Xenopus tropicalis: one gene and its partner. The protein of the gene in region 2 interacts with the protein of the main gene of each other region in a biochemical or structural test. Links are inferred from orthologs where the notes say so. Each region holds a gene or a part of one and is shown on either strand. Other genes may lie near its edges. The genes, in order: timp4 and mmp2.

Region 1 (4,533 bases), about 110 Mb from region 2:
CAGAACTAGTTCCCCAGTACCAGTATAATCCCCAGCCCATTTGCACAGACAGAACTAATTCCCAGTACCAGTATAATCCCCAGCCCATTGGCTCAGACAGAACTAGTTCCCCAGTACCAGTATAATCCCCAGCCCATTGGCTCAGCAGAACTAGTTCCCCAGTACCAGTATAATCCCCAGCCCATTGGCTCAGCAGAACTAGTTCCCCAGTACCAGTATAATCCCCAGCCCATTTGCCCAGACAGAGCTAATTCCCAGTACCAGTATAATCCCCAGCCCATTGGCTCAGACAGAACTAGTTCCCCAGTACCAGTATAATCCCCAGCCCATTTGCCCAGACAGAGCTAATTCCCAGTACCAGTATAATCCCCAGCCCATTGGCTCAGCAGAACTAGTTCCCCAGTACCAGTATAATCCCCAGCCCATTGGCTCAGCAGAACTAGTTCCCCAGTACCAGTATAATCCCCAGCCCATTTGCCCAGACAGAGCTAATTCCCAGTACCAGTATAATCCCCAGCCCATTGGCTCAGACAGAACTAGTTCCCCAGTACCAGTATAATCCCCAGCCCATTTGCCCAGACAGAGCTAATTCCCAGTACCAGTATAATCCCCAGCCCATTGGCTCAGACAGAACTAGTTCCCCAGTACCAGTATAATCCCCAGCCCATTGGCTCAGCAGAACTAGTTCCCCAGTACCAGTATAATCCCCAGCCCTTTGGCTCAGACAGAACTAGTTCCCCAGTACCAGTATAATCCCCAGCCCTTTGGCTCAGACAGAACTAGTTCCCCAGTACCAGTATAATCCCCAGCCCATTGGCTCAGCAGAACTAGTTTTCCAGTACCAGTATAATCCCCAGCCCATTGGCTCAGCAGAACTAGTTTTCCAGTACCAGTATAATCCCCAGCCCACTGGCTCAGCAGAACTAGTTTTCCAGTACCAGTATAATCCCCAGCCCATTGGCTCAGCAGAACTAGTTTTCCAGTACCAGTATAATCCCCAGCCCATTGGCTCAGACAGAACTAGTTCTCCAGTACCAGTATAATCCCCAACCCATTGGCTCAGACAGAACTAGTTCTCCAGTACCAGTATAATCCCCAACCCATTGGCTCAGCAGAATTAGTTCACCAGTACCAGTATAATCCCCAACCCATTGGCTCAGACAGAACTAGTTCTCCAGTACCAGTATAATCCCCAACCCATTGGCTCAGCAGAATTAGTTCTCCAGTACCAGTATAATCCCCAGCCCATTGGCTCAGCAGAACTAGTTTTCCAGTACCAGTATAATCCCCAGCCCATTGGCTCAGACAGAACTAGTTCTCCAGTACCAGTATAATCCCCAACCCATTGGCTCAGACAGAACTAGTTCTCCAGTACCAGTATAATCCCCAACCCATTGGCTCAGACAGAACTAGTTCTCCAGTACCAGTATAATCCCCAACCCATTGGCTCAGCAGAATTAGTTCTCCAGTACCAGTATAATCCCCAACCCATTGGCTCAGACAGAACTAGTTCTCCAGTACCAGTATAATCCCCAACCCATTGGCTCAGTAGAATTAGTTCTCCAGTACCAGTATAATCCCCAACCCATTGGCTCAGCAGAATTAGTTCACCAGTACCAGTATAATCCCCAACCCATTGGCTCAGACAGAACTAGTTCTCCAGTACCAGTATAATCCCCAACCCATTGGCTCAGCAGAATTAGTTCTCCAGTACCAGTATAATCCCCAGCCCATTGGCTCAGCAGAACTAGTTTTCCAGTACCAGTATAATCCCCAGCCCATTGGCTCAGACAGAACTAGTTCTCCAGTACCAGTATAATCCCCAACCCATTGGCTCAGACAGAACTAGTTCTCCAGTACCAGTATAATCCCCAACCCATTGGCTCAGCAGAATTAGTTCTCCAGTACCAGTATAATCCCCAACCCATTGGCTCAGACAGAACTAGTTCTCCAGTACCAGTATAATCCCCAACCCATTGGCTCAGTAGAATTAGTTCTCCAGTACCAGTATAATCCCCAGCCCATTGGCTCAGCAGAACTAGTTTTCCAGTACCAGTATAATCCCCAGCCCATTGGCTCAGCAGAACTAGTTTTCCAGTACCAGTATAATCCCCAGCCCATTGGCTCAGACAGAACTAGTTCTCCAGTACCAGTATAATCCCCAACCCATTGGCTCAGACAGAACTAGTTCTCCAGTACCAGTATAATCCCCAACCCATTGGCTCAGACAGAACTAGTTCCCCAGTACCAGTATAATCCCCAACCCATTGGCTCAGCAGAATTAGTTCTCCAGTACCAGTATAATCCCCAGCCCATTGGCTCAGACAGAACTAGTTCTCTAGTACCAGTATAATCCCCAGCACCCAGATCCTCTGGAGTTTGGGTTATTTAGTTCTGATATTGATTATCACACAGAAGAGAGGATGGGTTGGTCTGAGCAAAGTTCAGCTTCTGTCACTGAGTTTTATTCCTAGTTATTTCTCCAGAATCCGGTTCTGGTTCTGACAGCCTGGGAAAATCCACACAAACAAAACAGCACAAATCTTACAGTCATGATATACTTCTTGTTTAAATGGAAGGGGGGGGGGGGTCTTAGCCTTAAAATTTAGACAGAGTTATACAGATATCTATCTTACCATCATCTTATTATATATCTGCTCAATACCTCTCCAGTCTCCTGCTATGTTGCTGAGGTCAGTGTCCATAGCAACCACATTGCTGTTCCTTATTTAAAACCCAAAACATAGAAAAGAAAGACCAACATTACACTAAAAGTTAATTTAGGCTGCACCTTCCCAATCATCTTCATCATTCTTGCTGGGAACAAGTGATATTCAGTTTAATTGTAGTTAACTCACCAATTGCCGCATCGCAGATCTGTTCCTGTGGGTGGGAAGGGGCACAGGTACAGCCTCTCACTGACTCAGGTGCTCCAAGGGTTAAAAGGAGTGCAAGCCACAAGCTGGGCAATGAGGCTCCCATAGTGGCCACATCCAGTGCTGGGGCAGTTCCCTCCCGCGTCCCCCCAGAGACAATGTCAGCTTGGCTGGGAAGGTCCCTCAGTGCTGCGGCCGCTCCAGCCTGATGCTCCCTGACTTCTAATTTGTGCTACATAAAACCTTCTTTTTCTTATGGCTTCAGCTCTCTAGCCCCTCCCTCGGGGAGCCCTGTGCACCAATCAGAGGGCACAGCCAGGGTGCCAATCACTCCCCGCTAGTAATTCTATTCAACACTTCTTGGCAAATGTAGTTTTCTTAGTGCTAGGGGCAACACAAACCCTTTGTTCACTCACATAAGAACATTCACCCGCTGAAGCTGCTCTTTAGCTATTGCTGGACTACAAGTCCCAGAATTCCCTCCTAGCTTTAGCACTCAGCTCCCAGCATCCTGCTGAAAGGTGGCAAATGATCATTTAGATCTTTATTTTGAACACACACAGAGAGGATAATCTCCCCCATATTGCCATTTATAAGGCTATTAGAAGTCACAGAGGAGGCTCTGGTTTAGTTAAAACTAATCTCTAGTTTAGTTGGGGGACTATTATATAAAATTCTTCAAAATTCATGTGTCCTGCACAACTCCCAGCACCTTTCATCTTATGCACATTACCCTTCTCCCCTGCGGGTCTCCCTGCACTACAATGTGCATCCTTAGGCACTAACATGGGGGTGCAGTTAAAGCTGCAGCGATACTGGCGTCTTGTTGCCCTTGGCAACAATGTGTTTTGTTTCTCATTGCCCTGAGGCAGTAGTTTCCAGTGACATTAACTGTTAGTATTTTATACTTAGATTGTAAGCTCTACGGGGCAGGGACCTCCTTCCTACTGTGTCTCATACCACATGGCACTTATTCCCTGTGCATTAATATTTATTGTATTTATTTATTATAACACTTGTCCTCCCTGTATGTAATTTTGTATTTTGTAAGATTATACAGCGCTGCGTACCCTTGTGGCGCTTTATAAATAAAGTTATACATACATACATACATGCACACATACATACATACATACATACATACATGCATACATGCACACATACATACATACATACATACATGCACACATACATACATACATACATACATACATACATGCATACATACACACATACATACATACATACACACATACATACATACATACATGCACACATACATACATACACACATACATACACACATACAATGGCCTGTTTGTAGCAACTGTTCACTTGGTCTTCATTTTTTTAAAATATTTACCTTTCTGTCTTACCCCATTCCACCTTTTAATGGGGGTCACTGACCCAGCAACTCATCTTTTTATTGTCTCATTCACACCGCTGCCATATTGCTAGGGCAAACTGGACCCTAGCAACCAGACAAAAATTCTAAAAAACTAAATACTGAAGACCAACTGCAAATCATCTGGGAATATCACTGCCTGCATGATTTGAACAGTTAATATAAAAGTGACAGGGAAAATATAAGAGAAAGGAAATGGTTCTGTACAGGGTCGGACTGGGAAAAATCCTGGTGGGCCCCGACTCTAATGGG
Region 2 (3,827 bases):
ACAATTTAGTATCGTCAGCTATTACAATGCCAACCTCATGGTCATTTATAAAGAAATTAAAGCAAAGGGCCACAAATGACAGACAGTAGTGGTACTTTACTAATAACTCTAATCCAAATTGGAAAAGTACTAAAATAACTGTTAAAGGGGTGGTTCACCGTTAAGTTAACATTTAGTATCTTATAGAATGGCCAATTCTAAGCAATTTTTCAATAGGTCTTCCTTATTTTTTTATAGTTTTTAAATTATTTGCTTTCCTCTCCAGCTTTCAAATGGGGGTCACTGACCCCAGAAGCCAAAAATGGTTGCTCTGTAAGGCTACAATTTTACTGTTGTTTCTTTCTTTTTATTACTTTTTTTTTATTTAGATTTTCGCCTATTCATATTGCATTCTCTCATTATAACCACTCCCTGGTTGCTAAGGAATTTGTACCCTAGCAACCAGTTAGTTGCTGAAATTCTAAACTGGAGAGCTGCTAAACAAAAACTGGAATCATTAAAAAACTAAAAAAAAAAATTTCAAAATTGTCTCAGAATATTGGTCTTCCCATCATACTTAACTTAACTCCAAAGTGAACAAGCGAAAAAATACTACATTACCTGATTTACCTACTTTACACCTTCTTCACACTGCAAAGACCCACATGGTGAAGGTCTTCTCAGCCTCCACTGCATTTCAAATACATTACCTTAGTAGAAGAAGTAAGAAAATTAGAGAAAATAACTCATGTAATACACAATAAATGTAAAGATTACTGGAATATATGGGAATCATGGCTCACCCTTATACAGGCCAGGAAAAATAAGGCCTCTCTCACATAAATGGAACTTCCACTTCCCCAAACTTAGAAACACAGGCCCTAGCCCAGAAATGAAGGAATATTAGATTTCAGGATTCAAAATACTGCTATGTAGTGTATAGATGTAAACTTGTTAAGTTGCTGATGTATGTTATAAGACTGTTTTCACCCTCTACCCCCCTCTTGCTTTCTTTAAACTTGAATATACATGAAAAAGATTACCAAAGTTGCAAGGTTGCAGGTTGTGACTTCAACATCAATACAGTGCATACAGATCATGGAAGTCATTTGCTAAATGTAGTGGTTTTTATGAAATGTTGCAAATGCTTGCATTTTACAGCATTTTATCTCCCACATGCCATTAGATACCAAGACAAAACATTATTATTAAGAATGCCAGGGGTCTTCTGAAAAGTTTGATGTCCAGTATATATAGTAGATAATACAACACTGTGGCATGCCAAAATGAAATATTCCTTCTGCATACAAATGTCACGACTTATATTTACTACAGCAAAATATATTTCTTGTTTAATTTCCTATTTACATTTTGCTTTATTAATTGATTTTAATTAAATCTTTGACAGATATCTCAAAGATTGGATTTTATAGTGTCTTATTTTCCATGTCATTAACTACCTAAATACAATATCATATATATATAAATGGCAGGGGTTTGATGCCAAGCATAGCATCTCCAAAGTATCTAGCATGTAGAGTACAGACCCCAAAATAAAAATAGTGAATATGCCTTTTTATGCCTGACACATTGAAATAAAAAATGGGTACACATCTCTTATTGTTCCAAAAATGCAAAACTATCCAAGGAGAAGAAAAGGTAAAATCTCTGGGTGTCAAAATGTTGTGCACCCCCTTAGTGATTGTAATTGCTTACCTTACTCCAGGTTGGTGCTCCTGGTGCAGTTTTCTCCTAACAGGGGCACCAGACAAGGGTATAAGGTGAGCAATTACAATCACTGGGGGGTGCCTAACATTAGAAAAAGTGATTAGGAAAAGAATGGGAAAGCCATAGGTTTTTAAACATTTTTTTTTTTTTAAAACATTTTTAACATTTTAGATATCTAATCTAAGTAAGCCTGTAAGCCTTGAAAACATTCTACCTTCTAGGTTCATATGCCCTCTACATACTAGGGGCAATAAATATATGGAGCACACACTTCACGGGGATATTTAATTTGATACATCAATATGATTCTTTCGTGTCAGTCACTGAACAGAATCAAATACATAATAACATAATAGGTTAGCTTGAAATAAGACACACGTCTATCAAGTTCAGCCTTTTACATCTTCATGAAACCTGCCAAATTGTTGATCCAGAGGAAGGCAAAAAAACCCTTCTGAAGTTTCTCCAATTCACCTCAAAGAGGGAAAAAATTCCTTTCTGGCTCCAAGATGGCAATCGGACAAGTCCCTGGATCAACTTGTAATAAGAGCTATTTTTAATAACCCTGTATTCCCTCACTTGCTAAAAAAACCATTCCAAACCTTCTTGAAGCTAACTAATGTATATCCCAGCAGTTTCTGCGTGTCTTTTTTCTGCTTAGTTAAAGCTAGTTTTTGTTTTTCCTGTGTTTAGCATATGAGCATAAAGCTTCTCATGCTGCAATGGTGTCCAGTAGGCACCAAAAAACTATATTTATAAATATATATATATATATAAAGTCAAATTGTGTGTCCGCACTCTAAACTAGTTTGGGTGCTAGGTCAAAACATGTAAATACATACAGGACCAGCACCAGGTCACATCAATATTTTCTCTTTATTCACTGTGGATCGCACAATTAACAATTAAATATATATAGTACACAGGGAGGAGCACACACACCCTATACAAGTCCAAATGCCCTTGGTGCAGGTCAAAAACAAAAATATTATAGAAAGAGTGCCGCACACACAGGGACTTGATACAAAAGAAAAAGTGTTTTTATTGAAATAAAATCCATTTTTTTCAATAAAAACACCTTTTTCTTTTGTATCGAGTCCCTGTAAGTGCAGCACTATTTCTATTTTTTATATATATATCTATATATATATACACATAGGTGGGGTTGTGGGAGCACTCCAAGGCTAAAAAAAGTATACAAATACAATGGTGCGACTGATCTGGCCAAATTAACTACAAGCATACAAAAAGGAGAGGAGGATTGATCAATGCACATTCCCTGGCCCCCCCTAAATTATCTATGCTAGTGCATGTATTTACAAAAAAACAGGGGTTTTTAGTTACAAAATTATGATCATAAGATTGGTAAGCCACCATATGTCAAGGTATATATAGGATAGAAAGTTCAAGTTAGATACATACCAGACAGAATGTTGTTCTGTAAAAATATATTTGGTCTTACTTACTGAATTTTTTTTTACAGCAATACCTAAATCAATTTTATGGCTGCCCTAAGGATAAATGTCACATGATGGTTCTTAAGGATGCCCTTAAGAAAATGCAAAAATTCTTTGGTCTTACTGAAACTGGGGAGTTTGATCAAAATACCATTGAAACCATGAAAAAGCCAAGATGTGGAAACCCTGATGTAGCCAACTACAACTTCTTCCCCAGAAAACCCAAATGGGACAAAAATCAGCTGACATACAGGCAAGTTTTTTTCTTTCCTATATATATATCTGTTAACATAGATTTGTATTTAATAATTCTGCTTTGCTTATTTTATTTTTAATTCCTAGGATTATTGGATACACAACAGATTTGGATTCTGAAACAGTTGATGATGCTTTTGCACGTGCTTTTAAAGTTTGGAGTGATGTCACACCACTGGAGTTTACCCGAATTCATGATGGAGAAGCAGATATCATGATCAATTTTGGACGATGGGGTATCATCTTATATGAAATAAAAATAAAAGGGCTCATTCAGGGCCACAAGTGCAAAGTGTAAAGTGCAATTTTGAGCACAAGTTGCCATTTCTTTTTACTAACAATACACAATTTTCCCCATAACACCAGCATGATTGTGTCTGCCAGGGGTAGTTGTACTTTGTCAGTTGC

What was found.
Region 1: the proteins of mmp2 (region 2) and timp4 form a complex in vitro, tested with the Homo sapiens proteins (2 studies listed by BioGRID). The link is inferred for Xenopus tropicalis from reciprocal best matches to the Homo sapiens genes MMP2 and TIMP4.

Annotation. Positions count from the first base shown.
Region 1 is NC_030680.2:151,125,016-151,129,548, reverse strand, and holds the start of timp4 (metalloproteinase inhibitor 4), read right to left. Parts: upstream 3,116-4,533; 5' UTR 2,983-3,115; coding exon 2,859-2,982; intron 1-2,858. UniProt on the Homo sapiens protein: Complexes with metalloproteinases (such as collagenases) and irreversibly inactivates them by binding to their catalytic zinc cofactor. Known to act on MMP-1, MMP-2, MMP-3, MMP-7 and MMP-9.
Region 2 is NC_030680.2:42,698,144-42,701,970, forward strand, and holds part of mmp2 (72 kDa type IV collagenase precursor), read left to right. Parts: intron 1-3,190; coding exon 3,191-3,417; intron 3,418-3,506; coding exon 3,507-3,655; intron 3,656-3,827.